Pelodiscus sinensis: one gene and its partners. The protein of the gene in region 3 purifies or fractionates together with the protein of the main gene of each other region. This does not show direct contact. Links are inferred from orthologs where the notes say so. Each region holds a gene or a part of one and is shown on either strand. Other genes may lie near its edges.

Region 1 (7,534 bases), on a different chromosome or scaffold from region 3:
CTGTCTTTTAATAGCTATTTCATATTTCTCTGACAGGTATATCACCCCACTACAGTAAAAATAAATAGTGCCTAAAAGTTAGAGCAATGGATAGAAAGATGGTACTCTGAGGCTCCATTCTCTGCCACTGATGCTGTAGCCCTGTGCAAAGCTACTTAATTGCCCCATTCTTAGCTTCCCTCTTTATAAAATAATATTTTTTTTAAATGCTGGCCTACCATACCCATGTACTCAGGCTTCATTAATCAATGTTTGTAAGTCACTTTGACATCCTTTCATATAAAGCACCAAGGAAGCGTACTTACTGAGAGAAGATGCTGTTCTTTGGGGTGGAAGACTCACATGCTGAAGTGTTATATTCCTTTTCTAAGTATACATGCACACACTACTCTCTCAATTTCATTCTTCTGTGTTCTCCAAGCAACAGCCTACGTTCTTAGGGGTTTTTTTGTTTATTTGTTTCACAGTAGCAAGTCCCAGACATCAGAATGAGAGCTCTAAATTGTTTCTCCTTCAGCCAACTCCAAACTGAGTCTTTTGCTTTCTTCCACCCAGAGCTGTAACATCCCCATACCTCCTTGTGCCTACCACCTACACACACAAGCTGTAACTAGAAGGTGCTGTATAGATAAACTCATTGAAGTAATCGGAATTGCACAGGTAACTGACAGCTGAATTTTCCCCATTACCACAATTTAAAAAAAAAATCAAAATAATTTTTCTTCAGTAAAGCAAAACTCTCAGCTTTTTTTTTTTTTTTAAATAAATACTTACAATCATATCTTCATGAGAAGTGTCCACAGTGTTAATTACTGATACCTGAGGGGGAAAAAAAATCACTTACATTTAGTACAAATGCCAACAGGGAGACTGAAACTGAAGTTTACTCAGAGACTATTTTATATTAAAATACTCAGGTAAGATGTTTTCCTCTAAGCTACACTAAGGATGTAACCCATTTCCATTCAATAAAAACTTCATCTCAGGTCAATCTTAGTTTACCTTTGCAATGTTATATTTAAGGTGGAGAAAGTACCTTTGCTTTCGTTCTGGGTTTTGGTAAGTGTGAATTTAACAGTGGCTTGCCCTCCATGGAAAATAATATCCTTTTTATTTATGGACACGATAGAGCCCAGGCTGTGGCAATGCAAGCTTCCCCACATTACCTTACCAATTCTTTGTGTCTCTGTCCTGGTCTAGAAGGGGAGGAAAGACAGTTTGATCTCCCTGACTAGTGTTTGCTGAGGCTATGAACAAGCGTGTCTCAGTGCCAAGAATTTGGAAACTGGACTGAAACCAAACTCATTTCACAGGAGCCACCTGTACAGCCATCTGTAGCCAGACACACCAACCCCCCATATCATCCATCTTATTTGCCTCTCTGAAGCATACAGGGCAGAGAAGGAGCAGTAAAATCAGCATAGTCTATGCTGGCTCATCTGATCCTGAGAAGCTGAAAAAACAGATATGTGGAGAGAGAGAGCAATTAAGTCAATAAGCTGGCCTCGAGGCTGCGAGAACTGCCCCAGCTGGCACCCATGTTGATTCGAACACACACACAGTCCCTGGGAGAGGAATTTCCCACTGAGAAAAGAATCCCCCAGTAATTCCAATTTAGTTATCTCTCTTACAAGTGTAAATTAAGTTCACAACTCCCTTGTAAGAATTGGTCTCACAAAAGGGAGACCAGCACTATTTGGCATCACAGATAAAAAAAGAGAAATACGTGACCCAAAATGGGTATAAAAGATGGGTTCAGCACACACTCACTTTGAGTGTCATTCTACCCTCTACCTGCTGGTCAGGTTAGGTGTTTGACCTCCCGAGGTTCTATAGGGACGCCCACCTCGTATTTTCATCTTTCCTAGGAATTGAGGGACCGGCCCTGGCCTGACATGCTGGAGTCGAGACGCACAGAAGGGGGTAAAAATTGTACCTGGATGTGGTCCTCTGTCTTAAGTGTACACATAGAAAGAGTAAGCTGTTACTTGGTACCATTATTTCTATTTTTCTATCTATCTTCTTTGTAACCATTTTTAAGATCTATATTTTGCTAGCAGTTAAGAAATAGAACAATAGCCATTGCAACCATATGATTTATAAGCTTCCTCAATAAACCTGTAACTGTTTAAGCTTTAACCTGACTCCTTCAGTTGCTGTAACAGAACCAAGCACAATTTAAAAGAACTTCAGCCGGTCTAAAGGGACAGTTATAGGAAGAGCTTGGGCGTTTGGATCTGTGTCACTCCCAGGTGACAGGGTCCACTGGGGCACTTCTCAGCCTTTCCTGGGCTGCCCGCTGTGAAGGAACTTCCCCCCTCTCCCGTGTTCTAGCAGCTAAAATCTGAAGTGTAATAAGCTCTTCCTACACACTGGGACGTCTGTTAGCCTGTTTGGCTACCCTCTGCGACGGGACCTCGGTCCTAGCAGTAAAGTCACGGACGTTAAACTCTCGGGGCTCCTTTCAGCCTTCTGGGCTGCCCGCTGCGACGAGACTTCGTGTCTTAGCAGCTAAAGACTTAGGAGACACACCCACACACACTGCCCTGACCGTCTGCTGACACCATCAGAGCCCAGTGATTTCAGCTCCTTAGTCAGACTGGACAGTGTAGCAATGCTGAAGTAAAGGTCATCCCTTGAAACACTCAGTATCCCTAATATATGTTGAGGATGAAGGACAAAAGGATACCTTCACCAGACATTCAAAATCCGGGACTTCCTCCACATTCTGACTTCATTTACCTGGCACTGCTCACTTCAAAATGCCAGTGTCCTGTTTTGGTTGGCAGGGTCTGCTTTTTGTATCTATTCTGCATCTTGCTAACAGTCCCTTTGTGAGAAAGCAACAAGACCACTAGGCAGCATCTAAAATAAGTTACCAGAGCTCCAGAATTTTCACTCCAGTTTAGACAAACAGGCCATAAATAAATCACTTCACTGCTCAGTACTTACCTGTAAAGTACCTCCAATCTGTGAAACAGGGATAAGGATACCAAACATCCCTAGGATGTAGAGTGCTATATAAAAGCATGTCTACAGCTGTAATGTTTCAGTGAAGACATGATTATTCCAATAGGCAAGATGCTACTATCGATGGAGTTTATCCACCTCAGGCTGTGGCTAGACTGCAGGGTTTTTTCGAAAAAAGTAGCCTTTTTTTGAAAAAACTTCACCTGCGTCTAGACTACAGCCACATTCTTTCGAAATTAAATCGAAAGAACGTGGCTTTTCTTTCGATGGGGGTAATCCTCATTTCATGAGGTATAATGCCTTTTTTCGAACGTGTTTTTTCGAAAAAAGGTGTTCTTGAATGCAAACAGGGTTTTTGAGAAACAGAGCATCCAGACTGCTTGAGTGCTCTCTTTCGAAAAAGTGGCTCACTTTTTCGAAAGAAGAGATTGCAGTCTAGACGCTCTCTTTCGAAAGAGGCTTTTTCGAAAGATTCTTTCGAAAAAGTCTCTTTTGAAAGAGGCGTGAAGTCTGAGGTAGACATAGCCTCAGTGATAGGCAGTAGCTATGTCATTGCGAGAAGCCCTCCTGCCAATAGAGCGCTCGCTACACAGGGGGGCTGGGTCAGTATAACAACCTCATTCAGGTTGGACTTTCCACCCCTTAAGCAACTTAATTATAATCAATATGAGTTGATAATGCAGCGCAAGCCCCAGGTGTACAGCAGGCAGTATCCATATCAAGGAAAGCCCAGCGTGGTGGTTAAAGTTCACGGATCTTCTAAGTAGGCACTAGGCTGTGGTGCAGCCCAAAGCTGCAGCTGGGGCTACGCTCCTGCTGCCTCTTCTAAGATGTGTTTGTCCATCTCCAGCCTACACTCTACTCCCCCCCCGCTTTTTTATTAGTGGCCGATCACACGGGGGATGCCCAGGAGCACGGGGCTTGGAGCCCTCACCTGGCCAGGGCCCTGCCGCGGGAAGCTCGCGAGCCTACCACAGGCCGGGAAGTGAGGGGCCCGCCCGCCCTCCGGGTCAGCGAGAAAGCGGCGAGACCCCCCAGGGAGGGCGGCGAGAAAGGCCCGTCCCGGGGGGGGGGGGCAAGGCAGGGGCTTGGAAGGAACCTGATCGCGCCCCTGAGACGCTGTGTCCCTCCCCGGTGGGAAGGAGCCGCTCGCGGGGCCTTACCATGGCGGCGGCGGGGCGGGCCGGGCTCGTGCGGCTGCTACCGGCGGCTCAGACGTGGCAAGTCCCGGCCGGGTTCGCGGTGCGGCGATGAAATCGCCCCGGTTGGGAACATGCGCCCCACGCTCTTCTTCCCGTCACGCCAAAGTTCCGCCCGCCGCTCGGGCCCAGCTCCCCGCCCAGAGCCGCCTCAGGCCCCGCGCCGCTCAGCCTGTGCTGCTGCCCAGCCCCCGCGGCGAGCTGCGCTGCTCCGGCCTGCCCTGCTTCTTCGCGGCGGGCCCTGTGGGTGCCCCAGCACGGCGCATCCAAATACCGAAGGTGGAGCACCCACAGGGCCGCCGCTATCAAAGAACTGCAGTTACTGCAGAGGGTGCGTGACCCTCTCTTCTCTCCAGCCTGGCGAGCATTCACCTCTCTCAGATGAAGTGATGAAACAAAAGGAAGGGGAGTTTTACTTACTCCCTAAAACGTCAGTCACAACGGCCCTAAACTTCCCCTGGACCCCATAGACTATCGCAGTGTTTCTCAAACTGTGCTCCACGGAGCCCCAGGGCTCCTCAAGACATCTCCAGGGTCTCCCCGAGGTTGACAAACTGGAAACAGGGATAGGTACAACACAGAATCAGTGGGCTGCTGGGGCTCCGCATACATTTTTACACATGTAAAGGGATCCGGAGCCCAAAAAGTTTGAGAACCACGGACCATAGTGTCTCCTGCTGCTAGATTTCCCACTTTCCCCAGATTAAGGGATTGCCTTCCAAATCACCCAGGCTACAGAAGCCAAAAAAACCCAAACAAAACCAAGCCCCCCAGGTAATACCTAGATGTAGGGTTGCCAGGTGTCCGGTATTCTACCAGACAGTCTGGTATTTGCACTCTTTGTCCGGTAAAAAAAATCAGATTCTCTGATTTTTCCAGCTGCGCACCGGACGGAAGCCTGGCAGGGGCGGGGGGAGCGGCTGGAAAGTGGGGCCACGATCAGCGGTAGGAGCCTGTGATTGCGCAGAAGCCTGGAAGGGGCAGGGTGTGTGGCTGGGACTCCCAGCCACTCCCCCCGCCCCTGCCAGGCTTCTGCACAATCACAGGGGCCCAACGCCCATGGTGGCCCCGCCTCCTAGCCTGGGAGTCCCAGCTAGGAGGCAGGACAGCGATCACCCCTCTGGGCACTTCAGAAGCCTAGCCAGGACGGGGGGAGTGTCTGGAACTCCCAGCCACTCCCCCTGCCCCCGCAAGGCTTCTGAAGTGCCCAGAGCATTACCAGGTGGGGAGTCCCCAGCTGGGAGGCGGAGCCGCGATCGCACTTCAGAAGAGTTCTGGGAGTCCCAGCCACTCCCCCCACCCCAGCTAGGCTTCTGAAGCGCCCAAATCGATGATCGTAGCCCCGCCTCCTAGCTGGGACTCCCAGGCTGGGAGGCGGGGCCGCCATCGGCACTGGGAGCCTGTGATTGCGCAGAAGCCTGGCAGGGGTGGAGGGAGTGGCTGGGAGTCTGCTCCCCGCCAGGCTTCTGTGCAATCACAGGTTCCCAGTGCCGATCGTGGCCCCGCCTCCCAGCCTGTGAGTCCCAGCTGGGAGGCGGGGTTGCGATCGCTGCTTATCCCGCATTCCTTTTTTTTTTTGCTCGACCAAAAAATACCTGGCGTCCGGTATTTTTTGGGAGACCATCTGGCAACCCTACCTAGATGGATGGCAACCCTACAACAGGGAGTTGTTCCTGATTAATAGTGTGGACACTGAGCCTGAAACAAGAATGCCTGCTTTGGTTTAGCTGAACCATAGCACAGTTAATTGGGAACAACTTCACATGTGGATAAGGCCTAAACTACTGGTTTTGCTGTCCTATCATTAACTTAATGGCTAAGTCTACATTAGCATTTTACTGCACTGTAAGTTTCTGGCTCAAGGGTGTGGAAACCCCCTCTAACCAGTGTAGCAAGTTATAGAGCTGTAAAGGGCCAGGGTAAGTCAGGCTATAGCGGGAGTTGTTAGCTATTCCAGTCATGGTGGTGGTTTACCAAGAGCACTGGGAGAGCTCTCTCCCAACACCCCTGCCATGATCACACTGACTGCTGTGTTACAACACTTCCACTGTTGCTCTTTAAACTTTTAAGTGTAGACCATGCCAATGTCTTTGAGAGAACAGCACTAGGAGGTTAGAGCTGGCATTAACAGGTGAGTAATACACAGAATAGTGCACAGGGTACAACCATGTTGTTAAATAGGCCAAAATTTCAACTGAAACAGCCTCAAACTTGGTGGAAGTTAACATCTGGCTAAAACTATAGTGGTTTGGGATTATCTTTGTAACCCCAGTTCCAAACACTGCTAAACTTTGGCCAGCACGCACTAGTCTTTCTAATACTACTGGTTGAGAGCCATGGCAATGGTATTGGGGTTACATCAAGGAAAACAGACCCCTGACTTCCAATTTTGCAAATAACTGTTAAAAGTATCTTCCAGTTGTTAGGAAACCATTGTTAGTATCTAAAAGGTTAGTCTGTCAAAACTGCTACCTGCAATGAATGTTCCAGTCCTGTAGTGAGCTTCTATGCAGCCACATAGAGCTCATAGCTGGAGTAGAGTTTATGGGAGGAAAAGTCTCCTGGATTCTAAATACACTTAGGTTACGTCTAGACTGTCATGATTTTCTGCAAATGCTTTTGACGGAAAAGTTTTCCGTTTAAAGCATTTGCGGAAAAGAGTGTCTAAATTGGCACAGACACTTTTCCGCAAAAGCACTTTTTGTGGAAAAGCGTCCGTGCCAATCTAGACGCGCTTTTCCGCAGAAAAAGCCCCTATTGCCATTTTCGCGATCGGGGCTTTTTTGCACAAAACAAATCTGAGCTGTCTACACTGGCCCTTTTGCGCAAAAGCTTTGCACAAAAGGACTTTTGCCTGAACGGGAGCAGCATAGTATTTCCGCAAGAAGCACTGATTTCAGACAGTAGGAAGTCAGTGTTCTTGCAGAAATTCAAGCGGCCACTGTAAATAGCTGGCAAGTTTTTCCACAAAAGCAGCTGATTTTGTGGAAAAACTTGCCAGTCTAGACGCAGCCTTAAAGTCTGCTGGTCCCTAAACAAGAGTTTTGCCTTTTTGCATCTCAAACCAATCAATAAAAGGAATTTCCGTGGCCATTGTGTACAGAATAATTGCATATGTGAAACCCTAGATGGCCACAGACTTGTTATGGTATAACAACAAAATTTTAATCATAATCTGTAACTTCAAAAGGCTCAAAGTATTGCAATAAAGAGGAGGGCAATAATATATAACAACTTCCCTTGTAAAAAATGTTACTGAACATCTAATGCCAAAAATATATACATAAGAGAAGAAATAACTGTAGAGGAAAGTAGTAGTCATAACAGAAATCTTGTGGAGGAGGGAGAATGTTTTGAGATATCAG
Region 2 (7,933 bases), on a different chromosome or scaffold from region 3:
GAAGCACTGGGAGGCATTATACATATAAATCTTTTCAAGGTTCTCTGATAAAAAGGTACTTTTTAAAATGCAAAGTAGGGATATACAATCCCATTTAATTAGTTAACTGGTTAGACATTAAGTTTGACAGATTAACTGATTAAACGGGTGTGGGTGGGGGCTGTTCCAGGCCGCTAGGCTCCCATGGGCTGGGATCTGGCAGCCTCGTGCAAGGAGATGGGACAGAAGATGGGGTGGGGGAGAAAAGATGAGACTGCTGGCTCCCAGCTCGAGTCGAACTGCTGGCTGGCAGCACCCTCTTCCCCCACAAGCCTGCCCACTGACAGCACACAGGGCTAGGAGCTGGCAGCGCTTCCCCCACGAACCTGCCAACTCACAGCCCACAACCCTGGGTGGGCTGGGAGCCAGTAGCCATCCTGCTGCCATTCTCTCCCGCTTGCCCCCACCCGCCACCCTGGCCACACACACCAGCCCTTCAGGCAGCTCCCTGACACCCATTAAGGCAAGAGTGGAGAACTTCAGGCCTGAGGACCACATGCGGCCCTCGGCTTGACTGGATCTAGGCCCCCCCCCCCCCCCCCCCGCTCAGCGCCACCCCCCATCATTGGGAGCTGATGCTGGTGCTCCAGCCCCCCTCCTCCACCCCTGCTACCTCACTGCAGGGCTGGAGCACACAAAATCTATTAGGCTAGGCCCCTCTAGGCTCTGGTGTGTGAGGGGAACATAAGGAGTATCTTTCTCCTTCTCAGTCAGGGGCCACATCAGTGTGGGGTTTTTTTTGTGTCCTCCCCAATTGTGTGCAGCCCCCCTCTCCCTGACTGATTTTTCTGTGGTTCAGTGACCCCAGACCCAAAAAAGGTTCCCCACCCCCACATTAAGGAATGCTTACCAGGTAACCATTTGCATCTCTAATGCAAAGTTACATTATAGAGTTCAGGCAACGAACACTGGAACTAAAGCTCTATTTTGAAGCATACTTCCCCCCCCCCCCTTTAACAGTCACCCATAACCTTCCCAAGCACATTACCTTCACGGATAATTTTTACAAACTTGTTCTCAGACCATAGTTGTTTAAGTTTGAGATAAATTAATCCAGTTATTTTTGAGTAAAAGGAAAGCTACAAAAACATGACTTCAAGACTTTGACCAGCCTTTAATTAGCTTCATATAACTTAAAAGCAGCCAATACTATATATTCCCAATTTGCCATGATTTTAATACTCACTGAGGGAGGAAACAGCGAATTAAATATTAAAGTACAAATGTTAGGTATCGTGTAATTGAATAGCCATGTAACCACATGAAATCTTAGTGGTTACAGGACTATTCGAGAGTCCCCAGGGGTCTATTTGGAAAACCATGGGAGGGTGGGCGGGCGAAGCCAATACACTCCCAGCCACATTCTCGGGGAAGCTCCTGCCTCCTCATGCTGCTGCCTCTATGTCAGAGGCAGCAGCAAGGAGCAGCTGCAGCCCCTGTCCCCAAAGGAGCAGAGCTCCCCATGGACAGAGGCTGTTCCATGGGATGCAGAGCAGTCTGTCTGTGGGGAACTCAAGACCCCCAGCAGACAGAAATGGCTCTCTCAGAACACCCTCTGTCCACAGCAGATCCAGGCTTACCGCAGACTGCAGCTGCTCTGTGTGATATGGAGCCGCCTCTATCTGCAGAGAGTTCGGCCACTGAAGACAGAGGCTGCTTCGTGTCAGCTTCCTCTGCCTCCCCCACCCCTGCTGCCTCTAGTGGCTGGGGGTGGGGGAGGAGAGGGCACCAGGGAGCTAGTGCTGGATGGAACCAGCTTTAAGCCAGCTCTCCGCAGCACCAGCTCCTGCCTGCCTCCCCTCCACTGCCACTGTAGGAGGCACACGGGGGGAGGTGGGGGGGGGGGACAAGTCTGCAGGAGCCAATATGCATGGGGAGCCTGCTTGAAAGCTCCCCATGTGTACTAGCTCCCACCTGCCCCTTCCCCCCATACTACTGCCTCTATCAGAGAAGGCAATGTGGGTGCTGGGCAGGCAGATCTGGTGGTCACGGGGAGCTGACTTAAGAGGCATCGGGAGGAAATAGGTGTAGTCGACAATTTTAACCACTAAACCCAGGATAATTGATTACCATTCACTTGTCTACACTGTGACATCCCTATATGAAAAGAGTATTTTTAAATATGTGCAAATTACATAATCCAACTCTGATCCTCCTGCCAGGTAACACTCCAGCGTCTCCGGTAAGGTGCTCCAGCACGACGTTTCTTTTGCCCGCAGTCTCTCACCCTTGCTCCCTGCAGGGCTTTGAACAGGACGGCGGGCTCGCTAGCCAGCAGGCCGCCGACACACGTGGCAGGGGGGAAAGGCTGGCTGGCTGCCGCCCCTGCCCCGCGGCGCTGAGGGGGCTGCCAGGAAACGCGCAACACGCGCACGCTGGGGGCACTTGCTGCCCAGGGAGGCCAGAGCGAGGCTCGGCGAGCAGGCCCGGCCCAAGGCGGCGGCGATCTCCTCGCCGCACCGGGGGACGCGCGGCGGCCCAGTCGCGGTGGCTCCTCGGCGCCCCAGCCGGGGGCCCGGGAGACATTCCCGCCGCCTGGGCCTGGCGCGCGGCTCGGCTGGACGCGCGGGTCACCCCGCCCCGGCGAGCCCAGGCTGGCGCGGGACATCGCAGCCCCGCCCGCCCTCCCCGGGCCCTCCCCGGCAGCGAGCGGCTGGGCAGGCGCGTCCCGGCGGGGAAGGGGCCGCCCAGCCCCGCGCACCTTGACGCTCTGGTCGCTGGAGCAGGTCGCCATGCGCCGCCCGTGGAAGTCGAAGGAGACATCGTGGATGAGGTCGCGGTGATCGGCCGCGATGCTGCGCGCCACGAACATCCCCCGGCCGGGCCGCGCCTCGCTCCCCCGCCGCCGCCGCCGCCCGGGACAGAGCCCGCCCGCCTGCCCGCCCGGCGTTCCAGGAGAGCGGGCGGCGCGTGCGTGCCAGCGGCGCTTCCCTCGCGCTCCGCCAGGGGGCGAGCCCAGGCGTCACGCGCCGCGCGGGGGTGGCTGCGGCCGCGAGCGCTGGAGACTCTGAAGGGAGCGCCAAGTGGCCCCGCCTCCTGCTGCGCGGCTCTTCTCGGGGCTGATGCGCCGCCTCCAGCCCAAGCGACCTTCCAAAGGGTCTCGTAGGGCCATGGAACTGGAAGGGACCTTTAGAGACCATCTAGTCCAGCCCCGCCCGCATGGCAGGACAAAGCACTGTCTAGGTCTCGGAGCTGCAGGGGAGAGCCCAGTTAGTCTGTTACAGAAAAAACAACAAGAAATGATCTGGTAGCATAGGCATGTGTGCGCAGCACATTGCATTAGGGTGTGCGCCCAGGGAATTCTGTTTCTTTTAAAGGCGAACATTTATTGAAGACTCAATCATAAAGGACATTATTTTTATTCATCAAACAAACTAAAGAAACTAAACAACTAAACTTAATTTTTTTAAAATGGGTGCAGCGGGGCTGGCCGGGGAAGATCGGGAGGAGGAACCAGCCAGCAGGAGGTAGAGCTGGGGGCGGGGGTTGGGTACAGAGGGCCTGGTCCGGAGAGATCAGAAGAAGAGGGGAGAACTGGCCATTGGAAGCAGGGCTGGCGGCGGGTGCAACGGGGCTGGCAGGGGAAGATTGGGAGGAGAAGTGAGGGAGAACCAATTGGCCAGCCAGGAGGGAGCAGGGCGGGGGGAGGAACATATCAGCGGGTGGGGAGCAGGACTGACCCAGGAAGTGCAGATCCCAGGGCGCTCCTGCCCCCTGCACAGTCCAGGTGAAGCACGAGTCAGTCCGGCTGTGGCTCCACCACGCGCTTGACCAGCGCGCAGGAACGCAGACCGGGCTGCCCCTCCTCCTCACATGCAACCAGGCTCCCAGCACCGATCGCGCCCCGCCTCCCAGCCACTCCCTCCACCAGGCTTCCGGATGCCCAGTCGGAAAACCAGAAAATACCAGCCATGTCTGGTATTTTCTGGATTTTTTTTTACTGGACAGAGCCCCAAAAAACCAGACTGTCTGGTAGAAAACCGGACACCTGGCAACTAAAGACATTAGGGTGTGCCTGCACACACCCGGCATACCCCATATGCACGCCAGTGTCTGGTAGCATTTTATAGACTAACAAAACATGTCGATGGTATCATGAGCTTTCGTGGACATAGCCCACTCATAACTCCGGTTATCTGAAGAAGGGGGCTGTGCCCACAAAAGCTCATGATACCATCGACATGTTTTGTTTGTCTATAAAGTGCTACCAGACCATTTGTTGTGGGTTTTTTTTGTCTAGGTCTACACTGCCGCTTTTTTTTTTTTTTTTTTGAAAAAGCTACGCAAAATGAGCTCTGCATTTTGTGTAGCTTTTTTCTGATTCTTTTGTTGGAAGAGGCTTTTCTGACATTTGGCACGTCTAGACTGGGCCAAATGTTGGGGGGAAAACCCTCTTTCGGAAGCCCCCTTATTCCTTGTGGAACGAGCAATACCGGGGCTTCTGAAAGAGTGCATTTGCTCTTCTGCAGAAAAAGCGGAAGATCAAACACGTTCCCTGGATGCGGAACAGTTTTTCCAGGATACAGAAAAACTGTGTAGTCTAGATGTAGCCTCAGTCTTCTCTTTTCTAAACTAAAAAAGCCCAGTTCTTTCAGTCTTCCCTCACTCACCTCATTCATCTCAGTGGCCTGGCTCCCAAAGGCTTTATACTCTGCAGTAATTGTCTGTATGTAAAGGGACTGGTGGCCCCTTACTAGGTTGTCCAGATTTCCCTGTACTGAATCCAGGACACCTGGAAAAATTACTTATTCTAGCAAGCTTAACAGCAGTTAATTGTACAAACATTCAAATTAACATTAAGTTGACCAAGACTCTGTTAAAAAGCAATACTGCAGAGTTGGATTTTTTTAATTTACCTTCTTTAAGGCTTTATGGTTCACACCAGGAAGCTGGTCATCTGAAGAAGCGGGCTGTGCCCACGAAAGCTCATGATACCATCTACATGTTTTATTAGTCTTTAAAATGCTACCAGACTATTTGTTGTTATTTTAAGTTTTACCAGGAAGGAAGACACTCCCCTACTCCCCACCACAGAGGAGGAGGTGGCAAACTCCTGAAACCTTTCTCACGCAATGCTTTTTTTCTAAAAAAAAAAAAAAAGTTGCCGGTACTCCAGGGGAAAAGTTGTTGAGTTCTGACTGGAGGTGCTGGTACTGCATCTGGAGGTGCCTGTCAGGGCCGGATTAAGGGGGGGGCTAGCCGGGCCATGTGCCCGATTGCAGCTGTAAGGTGTGCAGCGCGCCAGGGGGCAGGGCCGCGCATGCGCCATGCACCTGGGGCAGAGCCATGCATGTGTCACGCGCCTGCTGCCCGGGGCACAGGAATGGCTCAAGCCGGATCTGCTTGACCAAGTGTCAGTTCACACTGACAAGCTGGTGCCAGACTGGAGGTGAACTTATGACCTGTTTGCTCTTCATTCTACCCTAGGGGAATATCCAGTCTTTGAACATTGCCCTCATTTCAGGCTGCAACTGAGATCAGGACCCTGCTGTACTAAGCATGGTGCAAGTATACATGAAGAGATAAATCTTTGTCCCCTCCTCCCCAGATCCAAATCCTCAAAGTTAATATAAGACCATAATAATTACTATACTGGGTCAACTCAAATGTCCATCTAGCCCAGTATCCTGTCTTTTGACAGGGGCCAATCCCAGGTGCTCCACAGGGAATGAACAGAACAGGTAATCATGAAGTGAACCACCCCCTGTCACCCATTCCCAGCTTCTGACAAACAGAGGCTAGAGCCACCATTCCTACCCATCCTGGCTAATAGCCATTAATGGACTTTTCCTTTATGAACTTATCTACCTCAATTTTGAACTCTGTTAAAGTCCTAGTCTTCACAACATCCTCTGGCTAGTAGTTCCACAAGCTGACGGTGCATTAAGGAAAGAAATACTTTGTTGGTTTTAAACCTGCTACCTATTCATTTCATTTGGTGACCTCTAGCTCTTGTGTCATGGGAACAAGTAAATAAGTTCTTTATTAACTTTCTCCACAGCAGTCTTGATTTTATAGACCTCTTTCATTTCCCCCTCTTGTAATACCAAATAAAAGCAAGCAGGATCTTATGAGGGGGATAAGGCAAAAATCCACATTTATTGTAAAGATAATAATAAAAAAATAAAGAAAAGATAGAAGCAAACAACATTGTTTAACTACTTAACCCTTATACATATAAACATTCATTCATCCATTCATTCAGGTTCTGTGTATTTGTTATAGTTACCAGCCTGGGAGTTGCTTGTGACAGAATACTGGCCAGGTATTCTGTACACAAGTGATGGTAGTGGGGAGCAAAGTCCTGATCAGATGCGTATCTGAAGCTCCTGGTAGGCTGGCAGCAGAACCTTGGACTCTGATTCCATAGTTTTTTAGTCCAGTTCTTATAGGAATTTCTTCCTATGCCAGTCTATGGAAATTGCTGCATCATGCTGATGTCTTCAGGGTGGCTGCCAGGTGCTCGTCAGTGATCTCATCGGGTGGACCTCCAGTACTTGGTTTTCTCCACTTGACACCTTTTGGTTGCACTGGCACCTGATGCCTTCTTCAGCCCTTTGTTGCTGTATTCTCAGGCTGGCACCTCTCAGAACCATTCATTCATCATACAAGCACTCTCTCTCTTACATACATTCCCTAATTAATGTTTCCTATACAGTATTTTGTATAATAATAAAAGTTGTAGTTACAAAAGTTTCTGGGTGGTATTGATTAAAACAGTCTCTGAGTGCTGAGTAAAGTTACAATGTTTTAAAGAGAACAGGCGTCAATTATGTAACAATGCCCTTAGTCAATTACAGGGCTTGGCTTCCATAGCAGAGTTAGTGGCTTGACAATGCATTGTTCCAATGTATCTCTGCAATGTCAATTTCAAGCAGCTCCCTTGCACAAGCTTGAGCATGCCCTGGGACGGGGGGGGGGGGGGGGGGGGGGGACGGGGGGGGGGGCTGTTTCTGGCTATATAGGATTATATTCTTAACAGTTCTAAGTTACATGACCTAATACATTATATTCTAAAGGGGCAATAATAATAATAAATCTAAACATTTAACAATCTTAACAAATAAGAAGAAGAAGAAGAAGAATTAATAATAAATCTAAACACTTTAAGTTGTGGGGAATAAATTATGGGGAGTCACTTCCATTTGGGGGAATCATTTTCAATACATTAATATGTTATCCCTACACTCTTAGTTGTCTCTTTTCCATGATGAAAAGTCCCAGGCTACGTCTACACTGGCACCTTTTCCGGAAGGGGCATGTAAATTTCACCAGTCGTCGTAGGGAAATCCGCGGGGGATTTAAATATCCCCCGCGGCATTTAAATAAAATGTAGGAATAAGTAGGAATAAGACCCTCCGGAAAAGGGCACTTTTTCCGGAGGATCGGGGCCAGTGTAGACGCTCTTTTCCGGCTTTTTTAAAAGCCGGAAAAAAGCGGCGGACATTTTTATTTAAATGCCGCGGGGGATATTTAAATCCCCCGCGGATTTCCCTACGACGACTGGTGAAATTTACATGCCCCTTCCGGAAAAGGGGCCAGTGTAGACGTAGCCCCAGTCTTATTAATCTTTCCTCGTATTGCAGCCATTCCTTACTCCTGATAATGTTTGTTAATTCCTAAATGCCACTGAAATGGGTCTGAGCCCCCTTCATGAAGAAAGATTCGATCAGTTGCATAGTCTTTGTGAAACTTTTGAATTTTTATACGATATTGGAAATATTAAAAATCAGTTTTCTAAAGAAGATCTCATGAAGCACTGCCAGGACCTACATTTAGCACTCAGTACTGATAACTATGCTGACAGTGATGGAGTAGAATTGTATGATGAATTAGTAGCTTTATCTGAGCTAATAAGTCCTAAAACTTCTCCTCTAAAAGTATTAGAATTTAT
Region 3 (7,969 bases):
TGGCCCCTTTCACCTGCCTTGTGATTCTCTCTTGTCTATATGGTTTTATGAGAAGCAATCCCATTCTGGGTACAGCCCGTGTCCCTGGAACAACCAAACCCTTACCTTGGTTTAAGATATGATAAGTGGAAGCTGCATACAAATTTGGACTAGTTCTTACCGTTTAGGAAGAATTCTTAAATAGAGAGACAGACTCATGCACAAACGCTCTCAAATATATCGTAGATTGTTTTGAAATTAAAGAATCTGGATCAATGGATACATTCCTATTACATATAAAAATACAGACCTGTGCAATGCACCTTTTCAGCACAATTGATATCAAACATGAAGTGCAAAACAAGGAAAAAGTAAGGATGGTTGTTCTTTTTTAACTTAAGACTTTGTAAATGACTGTTACCAGTGGCCTAAACATTTCTTTCTTAAGCTTACCTAAAACTGTGAGTGGCAATATTTAAACAACTGAATATATGGATCAGCAACCTTAATTTTGACTGTTTTTGTTGTGCTTGGTCTGTACAGTACTCTCCAAATATAATTAAATAGTTTTGCTTTTCACAAAAAGTCCAGTACTGAATTGATATCCAGATGACTGACATTTGAAAGAAAATAACTGAATTGTTCTGATCATGAACAATTACAGTCTTACGTGTTTTGAAGCTTATAAATGCTCTAGCAAGAGACTTCTTATATACAATTAAAAAGGTGTTCTCTTCTCCTCCTCCTTGCTCAAAAATATCTATTTAAAAGTATAAAGAGATTACCGTATTTCCTTTATCTGATCTAATTCCCATGTAATCATTCCTTACCTTCAGCCATTCTTAGGGCCTCCATAACCTTAACAGGGAGAGAGGATCCAAAAGTCTTAACGTCATAGTTGATAGTTTCACTGGCTGAAGGATGTTGTAATACTCTTGTGGGTGTTGCTCTAAAAAAAATATACACATAAACTGTGATTGATTTGTTTCCATTATGTCTCCTGCAATTTTAAGATATACTTATTTCATTTTCAATTATTTAAAAGATACTTGATTGAATGGCCAAGTTTGTGAAAAACAGGCACAAGTGCATATCTTTAGGAGCTAACATTCAAGTCACTAAAGGAGGTTTCCCTTCTTATATTAATTTGAATGGAATAATGGGCCAAAGGTGTTAACATAAACCAGTGACAATCCAACAATAAAATATTAAAAACAAAGTTTCGGGTTTGGCATACAGTGACTTCAGCCTGTTTAGTACCACAATATGCATCACAAAGTCTTTTCAACTTTTTATTAAAGACATAGAAAAGAAAGAAAAGAGTTAAAACATTTGAAATGTACAGGCAGTCCCCGGGTTACGTACAAGATAGGGACTGCAGGTTTGTTCTTAAGTTGAATTTGTATGTAAGTCGGAACTGGTATATATAGTAGGGGAAACTCTAGCGAAACATTTCTCCAGAGCTCAGTTTTATTCTCCCACACCTCACTTCCCTCAGTCCTTTATTCTCAAGCTGAGGTGTCTGCTGAGAAAAGCCGCTCCGCGTCTCCCTGGTCTGCTGGGGGGGCGGGGGGGGGGGGTGCTAGCTTCGCGTCTCCCTGGTCTACTGGGGGGAAGCTGCTAGTGTGGGGTTGCCTCACCCCGTTTGTAAGTAGGGATCCGATGTAAGTCGGATCCATGTAACCCGGGGACTGCCTGTAATGCATTCAACAAGATTTTCATTTCAACGTTATTTGTTCCCTTTCTCTTTAGCTGGAAAAAGTTTTAGAAGACAAAAATCCTTTGTTTGTGAGCCTTTTAGATAATAATAAAGATAGTATTATCTGTCCTGTTGGGTAAGAGAGCAGTTGACCAATGCCAGGTGCAGCTATTACTGCTATTAGAAGTTTAAAACTAATTTTGGGAAAAAGAAAAGAAGTTTGTTGATACGGGCTGGAACTAGGGATGTGAATGGTTAACCCCGACACCCTGTATTGCTGCTGCCTCTGTATCAGAGGCAGGGATGTGAGGTGGCAGGTAGAGTTGGTCTAAAAATTGGCTCCCCACGCAGACCAGTTCCCACCTGCAGCCTGCTGACTCGGATACAGAGTAAAGATGTTAAATATCAGTTAACTGAATAGCCAATTAACCGAATGAATTCTTATTGATTACTTGACTATTCTATAGCTCCCGGGGGTAAGGCCAACAGCCAGGGTGCTCCAGCCCCTCTCCCAGGGAGCCGCCTGCCACTCTGTGCTGCTGCCTCTGTAGCATAGGCAGCAGTGCTGGGTGCCAGGCGGGAGCTAGTCCACAAGGGAAGCCAGTTTAATAAACAGCTCCCCTCATGGACCAGATGCCTGCTGCCCCATGCTGCTGTCTCTGATACAGAGGCAGCAGCTCAGCGTGGCAGCAGCCCGTCGGGAACAGGGGGGTCTGAGCTCACGGATGCGGCACAAGACAGAACCGAGCCAGGCTGCCCGCCTGGCTCCTAATGCACTTTAAAGGCAGAGCCGCAGCAGGGGAACCAGCGCGTGCTGGGCTGCTGGCCAGGCTGCTAAACAGTTTACTGGGGGGGGAGGGGGGGTCGTGTGGGGGGGAGGGGGGGTCGTGTGGTCTGTAGCACTAACCTGAAAGCTTTTGCTTACGGGTTAATCGATAACACTGATCCATCCCCAACAGCCGGGGGAGGGGTGACTCCGCGGAGCCGGGGGGGGGCGGTTTTTAAGTGCCCCCCGCATCAGTTTCCGCTTTACCCCCCCCCCCGCGCGGTGTGGGGCGCTAAGGCCCCGCGGGGCACTCACCGCGCCGAGAGGGAGCCGCTCCGCCTCCCCGCCGGGGAGAAGAGCCCCGGGGAAGCGGCCGCCGGCACCAGGCTCTTCCTGCCGCCCGGCCGGGGGATGGAGACGGCGGCGGGCCCGAGGGTCCTGCGGGCCGATCCGCCCGGGGTGCGCGGGGAGCCGGGGGCGGCAGGGAACATGGTGGGCGGCGGGGGGGGGGGGGCGAGGAAGCGGCGCGAACCCAGCAGCGCCTGAACGATCAACCGCCGAGGCCTCGCGCGCGCGCCGCTGACGTACAGGAGCTGCACGCTCCGCTCCGGGCGTCGCAGCTGCCTACGTCACACTCCCGGCCCCGAGACAGGGCGGGGTCAGCTGGGACGCAGGCGCGCGCCTCCTGCTCTAGGGAGGAAGGCGGGGGCCCGGAACGGCGGGGTGGCTCGCGCTGCAGGATCCAGCCCCTGAGCGGAGCGGGGCAGGGGGCGGCTGGCACAGCCTGGCTTCTGCACCACGCGGGCCAGTGGCGGTGACTGCAGCGCGGGGGGAGCCCACGTGACATGTCGGGGAGCGGAACTCTGGCTGGGGCAGCCCCAGCCGCCCTCTCCTGCTGCACAGCCCTCGGCGCCGGGGGCCGTCTCAGCAGAAAGGAGCGGGCTGGGCGGCGTTGGAGTGTGTCCGCTCACACGAGCTCAGTCCATCAGCGTCTTACTCTGGGGCTTGGCTTAAACTTTGGTGTTAGGCAGGGCAGCTTTAGGGGCAGGTGCTGGGCGGGGGCTTTTTTTCTTTTCTTAACAGCAAAAGGGAGACTAGGATGTCGGAAGTATCATGTTTCAGGTATTCCCTCCCTGGATTCATTTCTCACTGACCGCTAAGAGCGTTTTGGACCTTTTGTAGAAAATCGTGGAACCTTGCAGACTTTCTGAGAACTATGTGGACAGAACCTCTGGTGCACCTTTGTCATCATACATGATCATGCATCAAACTTATGGAATAAGCTACCAAGCCAATAAAACATAAGTTATTCAAAAGTTTAACAAATGAAGGTGGGGGGCTGAAGACACTCCTTGCGTGGAGCATCATTTGGGCTAGGACCTGCCCTGGTGTCAGGCCATCCCCCTTTCATTCCCAGTGAAAAGAAAAAAAAAACAGAGATTTCCCTACCCCCCCAACTCCCTGAATTTCCCCATCATTCATCCAGTGGTCAACTGGTAACATGCAGGGCTCCCCATTTAGTTTGTTGGAAATTTACTTAAAATTGAAAGAAGGCACATACAGCTGTGTTTTATGCCAGTTTCAGTGGATTCCTTTCAGTGATGTTGGCCAACCTAATAATTGCAAAATACGATTTGTAAATAAGGTGGGAATGAGCTTTCCCCTGACAGCCAGTAATGAGCAGGGACGCATGAGGGAAAGGCTTCCAGATCAGACTTTGTTGACATAAACATACCTACTCTGCCTAGGTATCCAGCAGACAGACCTGTGTTGCCCAAGTGATCAATCTTGGCTATAAATCACTTGAATGTGGGATAGTGATAGAAATGTAGCCGTGTTAGTCTGCGGTAGCTGAAGCAAAATGCAGGACAATGTAGCACTTTAAAGACTAACAAGATGGTTTATTAGATGATGAGCTTTCGTGGGCCAGACCCACTTCCTCAGATCAAATAGTGGAAGAATAGTGGTGACTATTTTCTTCCACTATTTGATCTGAGGAAGTGGGTCTGGCCCACGAAAGCTCATCATCTAATAAACCATCTTGTTAGTCTTTAAAGTGCTACATTGTCCTGCATTTTGCTTGAATGTGGGAGTAATTAAATGTTATTCTTATTTGAGTAACGGGCAGCGAAACTGTTCTTAGTTTGTCCTGACCAAGGGGATCACCCACAGTGCTTAATTAGTGCCAGTGTTTGCCAAAGCTATGCCCTAGCACATTATGGGCTAAGTAATGCCTAAAAAGAGAAGAGCCTATGGAGCCTAATCAGTTCTATCTTTAAAAAGAAAGAGGCAGGTCAAACAGAGCCTGAGATTCTTAGGCAGAGCTGACACTTTTAAATTTTCTTTTTGTTCTCAAATTCAGGACTTTGTCCCTCAGAAGATTGCAAAGAGTTAACAGTCTTTCTCTCAGAGACTTTTTTTGGAAAGCTCATCTTTCAAAGCTTAACCTAATAAGAAAAAGGAGCACACACTGATGTTACTACAACTATCGGTTTATTTACTGGAGGCGGGAGGTAGGAAGAGTAGGGTAGGAAGGAAGGGAGGATTAAAGATACTGAACAACTACAGTACACAAACACACACTCATACAGGTGAAAGAGAGATCTGATGCATTGTTTTTACCTTTTCCAGATGCCAAAGGTCTGACCGGACCAATGGACCACAAGCACAAATATGATGTTGATGAAGGACTCAGGTAAGTACCCTATCTATATACCCACCCTGATTGTATGTCTGTCCTATCTAACTTGGATGAATTCTGTGTATGGGAGTGCGCTCCTTCTCAAAATAGCAAAACCCCAACAATGCAAAAATGTTATTCCAAAACTATGAAAGCTAAGCTGTCATTCAGGCTAATGACCAGTGTCCTAATACAGAAGCTCTCCACTGAACACCCTTCTCTGTCTCCATTCATTGGGAGCTGCAGGCTGTCATGCTTTCAGATACTCAAGGACACAGTTCTGGTGAGTAGGCTTGTTTCAAAAGTTTTGGACTTGGTATGCTCCAAAGATACTCAGAAATGGGGCTTGTGCAAGTCATGTTTGCTTTTTGGATATGAAGCTTAACAGAACTCCAATTTTAAAACACAGGCATATTTAATACAACTTTTAACCACTGAGCCACTTAACTTTCAAAATATATTGCACCTGGTGCAAACGCTGTTTTCACTGTCCTGTAGGACTGCAGTGATAGAATATGAAGTTCTTATAAGGAACTTAATCAAAATAAGCACGTACATATGTCTACCGGAAAACACACTCCAGGACTTGATACAGCAAACACAAAACTAAACCTGCTATTTTTTTTCCGGGTCTGGAGCACCCACGAAGTTAGAGCCTGTGTTCAACACTAACTGTTGTGACCAAGAGGCACAAAAGATGAATTCCTACTTCCTTCATCCAGGAAACATACCACAAAGATTGTGTCAAATCCTTAGTTATGATGAAGAAATTGAATCAATCCTTCATTCATTCATCATTTGATATTTCATTCTGTGTTCAAATTCTCTATTCTGTCCTTATCACATAGCAAATCCATTGCTGGTAGTGCCTCACTCCATTCGACTGTTTGTTTTATAAGACAGGCATCTATAAAAGCTACATAGAGGTTGAGTAGAATCCAGAAATTGCAGTTGTAGATCTGTAAGAATCAAATCCATTTATTTGTGCAGCTGCCTTAACAAACACTTCTTGTCCTCTTAATCAATAGAAGTGCCTTAATTAATCAACTTGTGAACGGAAGTCTTTGCTTTTTCCAGTACATTTTCAATCAGTTATACTGTCATCCAAATGTAGCTTTTACTGCTGGGCAAAGATCTACTATTGTGCTTTGTGCGCTCCCTCTGCATCCAATCAAAGCACTGCTACAGTTCAGTCAGCACATCCTGCAAATTCTAGGTACATACGGGCAGTTAACCAAAATGTTCTCCCAAAATAGTGTAGTTTTGCTATGACTATCTTGCGGCCTACTGGGACCACTCATGCAGCCCACTTACTAGCCCAGGTCACCTATTGCTGAACAAATCTAACCAAGGCTGCCAACAGTTGGAAGAAGCAAGACTGAGGGATTACTGACTAAGGGGATGGTTGTGCAGAACAGGCAATTGCCTGGTGCATCCATGACTGAGAAAAACCTAGGAAGGAGGCTGACTAAAGAGGCTTGGGAAAGTAAACAGAAAACCCTGCCTCTTGTGTCTTCCTTGGGGAAATAGGCCTTTGTATGTTCCTTGTAAATAAATGGGGGGGCGGGGGACAAATCAAATAAAAGTACCTATCCCTCACTCCCACGTAACTAGGGTAACCTGCAACACATCAAATTTGACCTGAGTGGCTAGGCAAATCATTCTGAAGAAGTGGGTTGTGCCCACAAAATCTCATGATACCATCTACGTGTTTTGTTAGTCTTTAAGGTGCTACTAGACTACTTGTTTTTTAAGTTTTTCCTGTTACAGACTAACTCAGCTACCCCTCTGGAGCTTAATGGCATAAATAGTCCCTCATCCAATCCAGTATTGCATCTCTAATCGTGGCATTTATCAGATCTGCCACAGGAATGATCCACCTTTTCTTACATGGGCTCCATATATGATTTTCCCCAAACTAATCCTCCCCCAAAACACCCAAGTCCTTTAGATAATTCCCAGGATGCATCAAAATAGTTGCTTTGGAAATCAGTGTAATGGTTTATAAGGCATACATAGCAGCAGCAGACAACGGTAACTAAATACACTAATTTCAGTGAAAATTACAAATAACTAAATCAGTTCATTGCAGTGAAAATTAGGCACCCATGACTACTTGCTAAGAAAGCCTCCGAAGATACAAGCTACTGTTTCAGAGGGAGGCAAACTAATAATCCAGTGAAACACGCCATACTTCTAAAATACCCTTTACTGAGGGCATGTTATTTATTTTTGGCCTGATGATAACTGTTGCACAACAATGTGCTGTTTTACTCACCCTTCATCTTGATGACATTAGAAATAAGGAAAGCGAAGTTATAGAAAAAATGGATATGCAGTACATATTAGGACATTTAACTTTTCCATTCAAAGCAGACATTTAACTACACTACTTTGTATGAAGAATACAGATTTGGGGAAAGTACACTCACAACATCTACCCTAGGGAGAGTAAAATTGAATTGTCTGGGGATTTTTAACAATCTGTTACTCAGTTAACGAGAGAAAATTAAAGGGTTTTAAAGGCATTTTTTCATATCACTTTTTAAAATGTATACCTTGCTAACAGCTGGTTTGCATCAGTCACACTTTTCACAAAATCATTGCTAGTATTCTTCAAACATACCTTCAAAGAAATTAGGTTGCAAATCAGCAAAGCTATTGTTTTTTCTCCCATCTTTTCCATTATATTAATAATTCTCCCACATTAGAAAAATCTGCTACTACTTATAGTGTTTAAAAACGTAATAGGATTGAAGCTACCCAGTAGGATTAAAATTGATTTGGAGAGATGAAGAGATCATTTAAGCTGCATCTCCATGGGTAGATACTTATAACAACAGAC
Region 4 (7,998 bases), about 11 Mb from region 3:
TCAAAACCCTGGATGGATAAAACTGATTTTCTCTAGTGGGTGGCAGTTGTTTGGGAGCTATTGAAATAGACACACTCTGAAGTACATGAAGCTAGAACTACCTGGCCTATTATTGGCAGCTTTTAGGTAACACGTGCATGTGGAACATTTTAAAAATCCTTTTTTCTCTTATGCTTTGTTCCTATAATTAAGATTCAAAAATACTTTAGTTTAAGAAGGCTATCTGGTGATTACACTCATCCTGGTTTCCAAAATCCAAAGTGAAGAACAGGAAGTGTTCAGAGGGCTGGTGGAGTAAGGGAGCCAGTCAGACCTGCTGGGTACACATGGTAAATACTGTACTATAGCCTCGGACCAAGTGTGAAAACTACAGAACTCCAACCCAGGAGAGGTAAAGACATAAAATCAGATACTTCGGGATGGGTGTTTGGGACAGCATTCAGACACATCAGATAGGCAGAGGTACAGCTAGCCCTGTAAGCATGACAGTAGAATGTTCCTGGCTACAAAAAAACAGGCAGCCAACAGGAGAGTCTGCCACAGGACTGCCCTACTACCTGAGTAAGCCAGAACTTGAGTTTCCAGCTTCCTGCTGCTCCAAAACAATAATTTTTGCAGCTTACACATCAACCAATTTTCCCTTATAGGACATACTTCAGGTCTAGGAATATCATGGGCTATTTTGGAGAAAGTCAATGCAACATGCCTACTGCAGAACAAGTCAAAGAAAGGGCTCAGAGACATACACATAAGGGGAATCCTCAACATGCTCTTTTGCTATGAGGACTAACACAGCGGGGAGAAAAGACATCATCCAAGATATTCTATTTCTACTTTCTTCATTTACTCAAAATCTCAACATTACAGCAACTATCACACTGGACAAGGATAAACAATTTTTTCTGGAACCTGTCAATATTTCAATCAGCCACAGAAAAAAATCTGTTAAAACAATTCGAGGCACTGCAGCTCCCAACTGATGCTGATCCAGGGAGCAGGGGACATAACAGTTCGTACTTAGGGAGGCAACAGTTATTACTCATCAATCTTAGGGCGGGAGTAATGGGCGGTTAAGATATGGCTTACTAACAGTAAAAAGTATGTGTAAAACTCTAGTATATGGGGAGAAATAAGAAGAGTCTGAAGAAAGGGAAATGAGAGAAAATAGCAAGTTCACTTTGGAAAACACCATCCTTCACAATTTATATTACATAAAGAAAACCATTACAAAACTATTTTTCAGTGGTATCCAGTTCTATGGCTTTTTCTTTTTAAACCAGGAAATATTTGATGAATCCTAGAGGGACATTAGGAAGAGAGGAAACTTTAAGCACATGATCAATGAGCTGGCAATTCTGTCATATCCTCTTATAAAAAGAAATAAATAAGCTTATGATTTACTGGTGGTAGCAGTTGGAAAGCTCATCCCTGCCTGTACTCAGAACAAACCCGCCTAGGCGGGTCCCAGGAAGTTTTGAATGGTAACCTTGATATTTAGTATAGAAACTAAACATCACTGTAATAAAGCCACTGGCAAAAGAAAGCTTGCCTATAGACAAATATATGAATCATCAGACCTAATTCACTATTGCTGTTACCCATTACTTACTGAGAATCAAGAGCAAGTCTTCTCCATCCTTACAATCAGCCAACCAAGCTTCTGCATTAGCTTCAATCTCCCACCTCAGCATTTTTTTCTACCATTGCAAAACATGTGTTTAAATAACTTAATTATAGCCAGGCGGGTGAAGAAATTTTTGGGTGTAAAAAGCACGAAAATTATAAGCTCTGTAAAACTTAAAAGAAAAATTCAGTTTTCTCCAAATTTCAATTTCTGGAGTACCTCAGGGTACTCCTACCACAGGTTGAGAAACACTACATTAAACCATCCCTTCCCCTCCCTATCAGACAACCAGCCTTACTTGAATTCTGATTCCAGCCCTTGCTGCAGAGCCCAATTTTCACAGCACCTTCTGGCTTTTGTGTTAGAAAAATTATCAGACAGCAAAGGTTTAAAAGTATTTTTTCTTACTGATGGAAGTTCTGATTTTATGATTTACCTATAGCTTATGAAAAGCAGAAGTGAAATTTTGGTCTGTTTACCACCATTACAATCAGCAACTTTGTACCCTACCAATGGATACATACTCTTAAAAACCATGCACCCAACTGCAGGCATTAGAAAGTTGCACCAACTCTGTGGAGACACACGATGTAGACCAAAAGCCAAACATGCACGGGAACATCACCAGAACAACCCTACATTCTTGGAGGGTCTCCGATTTCACGTGCGAACCTTCCCCTCCTCGCCCACTCCCTAAAACTTCGGGTTATTTTCTTCTGTCCAAAGAGCCCCTTGGATACAGTCTGATGCGGCACACGGGGGGAAGGGGAAGCAGTGTGAGCACCAGGGAGGAGCCCAGCTCGCGCTGCTGCTGCTGCCCCGGGGCTGCGATCCCTCGGCACCATGTGCTCTGCCCGGGCCTAAGCGCAGGCGGGGCGGCACCGAGTGACCCTCCCGCCCCCGGGCTGCACGGGGCGCGGGCTGCGGCCGCTCGCTCGCTCAGGCACCAGGCACCGCCATGTGCGGCGGCGGCTGCGCGGCCCGAGGTCACTTACATAAGGAGCCGGCTCCCCCACCCCCGCCGGGCTCCCAGCGGCTGCCCCCGACCGCTCCTTGCCCGCCCTCCGGCCTGGGTCCGGCGCCCCCCCGGTGCGGAGCCGGCCTAGGCGAGGGGTGGCTGCGGCCCCTCCCGCTAGTACCTGCTGGGGCGGGTGTCACCGCCGCCTGCCTCCCGCCCGGCCCGTCTCCTCTCCCCCGTGCCGGTCAGGGCGGCGGCATCTCGCCGCGGCGGTTAAGGCGGTCGCCTGCCTCTCCCGGGCCTGCCAAGCTCCGCCGCACTCGGTGTCTGCGCAGCAACCCAGCCCCCCCCACGCTCGCCGCTGTGAAGGGAGGGGGGGAATCCGATCTCGCGAGAGCAGCCGCCGCCGCCGCCACTACCGCGGGAATTTTCAAATTCGCAACCTTTCCCCAGGCTCAAGCGGCCCTGAGGGGGAGGAGCGGGAGGGGAGTCGGAACGCAACAGGCGCAGAACTACAAGTACCAGCATGCACCGCTCCATCCACTGCCCGGCGGGTTCCAGTCGCCCGCAAAGCTGTGCATGCCGGGAAGTGTAGTCTCTTCAGAACTACCGAGTTGCTCATCCCTTCTGTCAGGAAGTGCTGTTCTGTGGCCACCCCTGCAGAAACTTGAAGCCTGTCTTCCTTCCTGTTGTATTTTTCTCCTCTTCCTCTTGCCTTTCTTTTTCTTTTCCTTTCTTTTCACACCTAGTCTCTCTCTCACTGGCACAAGCATTCAGTGTCTGGCCTAGGGAACACATCAGGGAGGGCTTATTTGTTCAGAAAAGCCTCTTCCAGAAACCTCTGGCAGACAACAGTTGTTGGATTTCAGTTTTTTTCTTTTTTTTCCCGTGCTTTGATGTTAACTTCCTGAACTCAGCTTGACCATATCTAAATTACAATGAGAGCACACATACACTACCACTGTCTGCAGAATTAAAATTTTAAAATTAAATCAAATACATGCACAGCCCTTATTGTGGCCACAAAATCATTGTAATAGCAAAAGGTGGTTTCATGACGTTGCTGCTTAGCTTAGGTCCAGGAGATGACTTGGGCAACAACAGAGGCAGACACAGAGGAGGAGCCCCCTTAAAAAAAAGGAAAGGAAGGGATTGTGTAGCAAAGATCCTCCTCCCATTGCAGCCTTTAGGAGGTTAGCAATTGAAGTTAAAGTGCCTTACAGCTCCCTTCATTAAGTATCTCACTGGGCATGGTACTTCAAATGTATTAGGAACCTACTAACCATAGGATTACAACAGGATGCAGTACCCATAGTGCCCTGAAAAAGCAACTCAGAAAGAATCTCAGTACCCTCCCTTTCTTCAACAGCTAGGAACACAGGCTGGGCATGTGTTTCTCACTTCAAGCTTTTTAGTAATTTCCTATCCCTCAAGATTGACACTACTTCATTATGGAGATACTATGGCTGACATGCAAAAGAATAGGATCTCACTCCATCAGCCCCAAAGCTGACAGTGCTTACCGTCATTCAGACTCCTTTAAAGAAAATATATTATTTTCCTGATTTTAAAACATGCTGGTAATCCATTGTGCTGAAAATATGGAATGGACTAAGGTTAACATACTTCTTACATATTTTTCAAATGGCAAAGTGGTGCAGGTGGTGTCACTCAAAACAAAGCCTTTTTTATTTCTTCTTGTAGAAAGGTATTGTCACAGACATGTATTTTAAGGGAAGAAGGGGACCATTATGATGTTCCTGTCTGACCTCCTGCGTGACACAATCTAGGAAATTTTGCTCAGTAATTCCTGCATTAAGTGCATTACATCTCACTGAGTTACAGCAAATCCTTTAGAAAGACTCCACTTCTGATTTACATACTTCAAGAGATGGTGAATCCAGTCTATCCTGTTTTGGATAAAATGTTCTGGTCTTTTCCTCTTCAGGAAAGCATCATTATTTTTATAGATGTTTAAGCCCTAGATGTGTTAAACAGAGATTTATAAATGAAAAAAAAATGTTTAAACACAAAACAGTCCCCCAAAAGCTAACTATTAAAAATTCCCCCTTTTGGGTATGCACACCCAGTCCAGGTTATTTTTAGATCTGACATGTCAGAAGAAGCAAATGCATCCCTGTCAGCTCTGTAATACAGGTGAGATTTTTCCATTCAAGGGGATCTTATGATCTCAACAGGGCATTGCCTATGGAACTTGCTATAGGCTCCCTTTCTTGTCATATTCTAGCTAGCAAAAGTAAGATACATTTTTGCAAATTCTGATTTAATGTTTTAAAAACTTACGTTAATCTAACAATATGTGTGGTAAGTGCAGGAGGTTAAAATGTTAGATTTTTGCATTTTAATGTCAAAAATAGTTTTACAGACCTAACTGCAAGTTTGCTAACAACCAAAAATATTTAAATAAGACTCAGTTATAGCTAGTTCTCAAACCTGGGTTCTCCAGCAGCAAGGGCAACCTAAGCTAGTGAGTAGGCCACATCAGTGACCCTCCTTCATCTCAGCGGGCCGCAAGATTGTTGCAACCCAAATGGTCTCCCAGGATAGGGTAGTTTTGCTAACTACGCTTGCTAGAATTTGTGTGCTGATTGAACCATAGCTGTGCTTTGATTTTATGCAGAGGGAGCACATGGCTCTCACAGGGATTTTCACTTCATCTGAGGATCACCTTGGGGCTTAGGTATGAGACAGGTGTCTGGACACCTGCCAGTGGCATTGTGTGCATGCTCAGAGACTGAAACTGTGGGTGACTAGTGATTTTTAGGAACCTGCAGAATTAGAGGCAGATGGCAGTTCTGCAGGGATTTGGGCACTGCTATGCTGATTTAATTCTACAACCATGTGCAGTGTAAAGTCAAGGTCAATGTAGATAATTTGATGCTATCAGCAGAGACACCGTGTTGCTTATGTTGAATGTTACTGGCTTTCAGGAGCCATCCCACAATGTCTCACACTGACAGTACAGTCAATACAAGCACTCCTGGTGAGGATGAGTACTGCTGACACAAGAAACGATAAACTAGCGATGTAATTACTGTAGTGGCTGTACGCCGAAGTGAGTTAGGTCAGCTTTGTTTTTTGCCACCCAAAGAAAGAACACTTTTACAGTTTTGTGTAAAAGAGCTGTGTTTGCACTCTGTAATTAAGGTATGTCTGAATGACAGCCATCTTGTTGGTTTCTCGTGTTCCAGTGTTTTTCCATTTATATTGTTTCAGTAGGGATAATAAACTGCACATTATGTAAATGAGCACCAGGTAACTATGCCCATTATCCTCTCTAGCGTATCTTTTGTCAGTTTAAATTGAATACATTTGAATTCGCTATTATCAATTCTTGCAAGAAGAATATGGAAATCTTTGATGCTTCCTTGCATTTAACACATATTCGCTTTTTTTGCCTTCTTTCCCCACTCCCCACCCTCTGTAAGTGTGCTTTGTGAGGAGATTTTTTACAAATAATTTTAAAGCATTTGTACCATTGCCTCTGTGATTTATCAAAGAATAAACCTGGGTGAAAAGTGGTGCAGCTTGAGTTCCCACTAGAATATTAAATACTTAGCATTTATAGAGTGTTTATTTATAGATCACAAAGTGCTATATAACAGCAGCACAAATGGAATCAGAATGTAGCTTCTCTGATTTTCAGCCCTGTGCTTTCTCCCTGGACTTCTTCCACACTGAGTTTAATTTATATTTATTTCAGATCAGGAAGCATGACAAAAAAGGAAGTGATACACAAAAATCTAAATTGATATGTAATCTGGTTATTGAGACTGTATAACTTATATTGGATTTATAATACTTTCCTGTTTGAATGTATTGATCTAACTAAAAGGGAATGGGGAAGAGCATACAAAGTCTTTCCAGATAAAGTCACCTGTGTACACATTAGAAGGACCACAGTGATTTCTTCCAAGACCCTATGGTCAGCCTTGTTTTGCAATACTGAGATCTACCAGATATGGAATGGTAAGCATTGGGGGCATGCAAAGCTGGTTTATTGGTTTTAATAACTTTTTTCTCTTAAATCTGTGTGTTATAGCTAAATACTTCACCTTAAGGAAGCTGTTTAGTTACAGATTACCACTGTTACAGCCAATGTAGGGTATAGACTGCAGAGTTTAAGAAGAAAGTCAGAACTTCTAAGATGATCACAGTTGGTATACAGAGACTGGCCACCCAATACCTAGCCTGACAGAGAATGGAAACATGCATTGATTTATTCCCAAGAGGTGGTGCACTCGAAGAGACCAGAAGGGGTGAAGTGTACAGTTATCCCAGAAGTATCTTGAGTTTATTAATGAATTCTATATAACAGTCATACTAAGTAAAAACGAGTTACCAAACTCGCCTCTCTACCTCTCCCAGAATAGTCCACCTGAAATTGTAGCATAATGCTACAGATCAAAGACATTTCTACTTTTTTTTTTCTCCTGAAAAGTGGGTAAGAAATAATATAACTAAGGTGGCACAACAGTAAGGTTGCACTAGTAAGCAGTCACAAAAAAAACAAAAACAAAAAAAAAACCACCACCACACAGAAAATCCCAAAGATAAGGCTGAAAGTGCAACCTTAATCCTACTCCCAACTGCATGCTTATGATACATTATCTAATTAAATAATCACACACTGCTTCAACCATTAATAAATGCGAATTTCTAAATTATAAACATTGAGCCCTATTGAGGCATGGATAAGGATTCCATGGCTAAGCATGTTTCATTTGGCACTCAATACAGGGATCCATACAATCTCTTTATTTTTTGTGTATTCTCCCCATACACCTTGTACTTTTTGTGTAAAGAAGGAATGTTCTTGGAATTAGAAAGCAAATTAATTTATCGCTTAAAATTAGTTTAAAGAAATGTAGCATATATGTCTGTATTGATTTTGTTCCAACTGATGTTAAGAAAATAACACAGATACTTCAAACTATTCATGTAGCCCAAGTGAATTGAAATCTTGTGTGTGGCTGTATTTGAAGAAATTAGGTTGTGAATATGGTAAGTTGTTGATTGCTGTATTCAGTTTTTTATTAGGAAAGTTACACAGACAGACTGAGGCCAGGCACACATGCAACTATTAAACAGAGCCAGAAAACTGATTCAGTCAATTAATATGCTTCTCAACAGCTAATTTGCATGCAACAATCCAAGTGATTGTAATGAGTCTGTGGTATGAGAGAGGCAGACATGTGTCAAGGGTTCCTCATGGGTAGATTAAAAGCTGTGACAGCTGGGCTAAGTAAAGTCTGTACAGCTACGTGCCAATTTGGGCATCAATGCATAAAAAGCTTCCAATTGTACTACTGGGGCAACTGAGATGGGGTACTGGGAAAATGCATAGAGCAGGCTCATGGACTTGACTCTCCCTGACCCTATCCATTCTTTACAT

What was found.
Region 1: the proteins of NUP133 (region 3) and SEC13 purify together in Homo sapiens (affinity purification with mass spectrometry; 4 studies listed by BioGRID and IntAct, counting the BioPlex papers as one, with this or other methods). This does not show direct contact. The link is inferred for Pelodiscus sinensis from reciprocal best matches to the Homo sapiens genes NUP133 and SEC13.
Region 2: the proteins of NUP133 (region 3) and SEH1L purify together in Homo sapiens (affinity purification with mass spectrometry; 4 studies listed by BioGRID and IntAct, with this or other methods). This does not show direct contact. The link is inferred for Pelodiscus sinensis from reciprocal best matches to the Homo sapiens genes NUP133 and SEH1L.
Region 4: the proteins of NUP133 (region 3) and AHCTF1 purify together in Homo sapiens (affinity purification with western blotting; 3 studies listed by BioGRID, with this or other methods). This does not show direct contact. The link is inferred for Pelodiscus sinensis from reciprocal best matches to the Homo sapiens genes NUP133 and AHCTF1.

Annotation. Positions count from the first base shown.
Region 1 is NC_134721.1:19,785,518-19,793,051, forward strand, and holds the start of SEC13 (protein SEC13 homolog), read right to left. Parts: upstream 3,016-7,534; 5' UTR 3,001-3,015; coding exon 2,953-3,000; intron 820-2,952; coding exon 775-819; intron 1-774. UniProt on the Homo sapiens protein: Functions as a component of the nuclear pore complex (NPC) and the COPII coat. At the endoplasmic reticulum, SEC13 is involved in the biogenesis of COPII-coated vesicles.
Region 2 is NC_134712.1:87,661,203-87,669,135, reverse strand, and holds the start of SEH1L (nucleoporin SEH1), read right to left. Parts: upstream 3,009-7,933; 5' UTR 2,852-3,008; coding exon 2,741-2,851; intron 1-2,740. UniProt on the Homo sapiens protein: Component of the Nup107-160 subcomplex of the nuclear pore complex (NPC). The Nup107-160 subcomplex is required for the assembly of a functional NPC.
Region 3 is NC_134713.1:123,320,187-123,328,155, reverse strand, and holds the start of NUP133 (nuclear pore complex protein Nup133), read right to left. Parts: upstream 3,011-7,969; 5' UTR 2,936-3,010; coding exon 2,760-2,935; intron 929-2,759; coding exon 810-928; intron 1-809. UniProt on the Homo sapiens protein: Involved in poly(A)+ RNA transport. Involved in nephrogenesis.
Region 4 is NC_134713.1:134,045,717-134,053,714, forward strand, and holds the start of AHCTF1 (protein ELYS), read right to left. Parts: upstream 3,014-7,998; 5' UTR 2,764-3,013; intron 2,596-2,763; exon of another isoform or gene 1,610-2,595; intron 1-1,609. UniProt on the Homo sapiens protein: Required for the assembly of a functional nuclear pore complex (NPC) on the surface of chromosomes as nuclei form at the end of mitosis. May initiate NPC assembly by binding to chromatin and recruiting the Nup107-160 subcomplex of the NPC.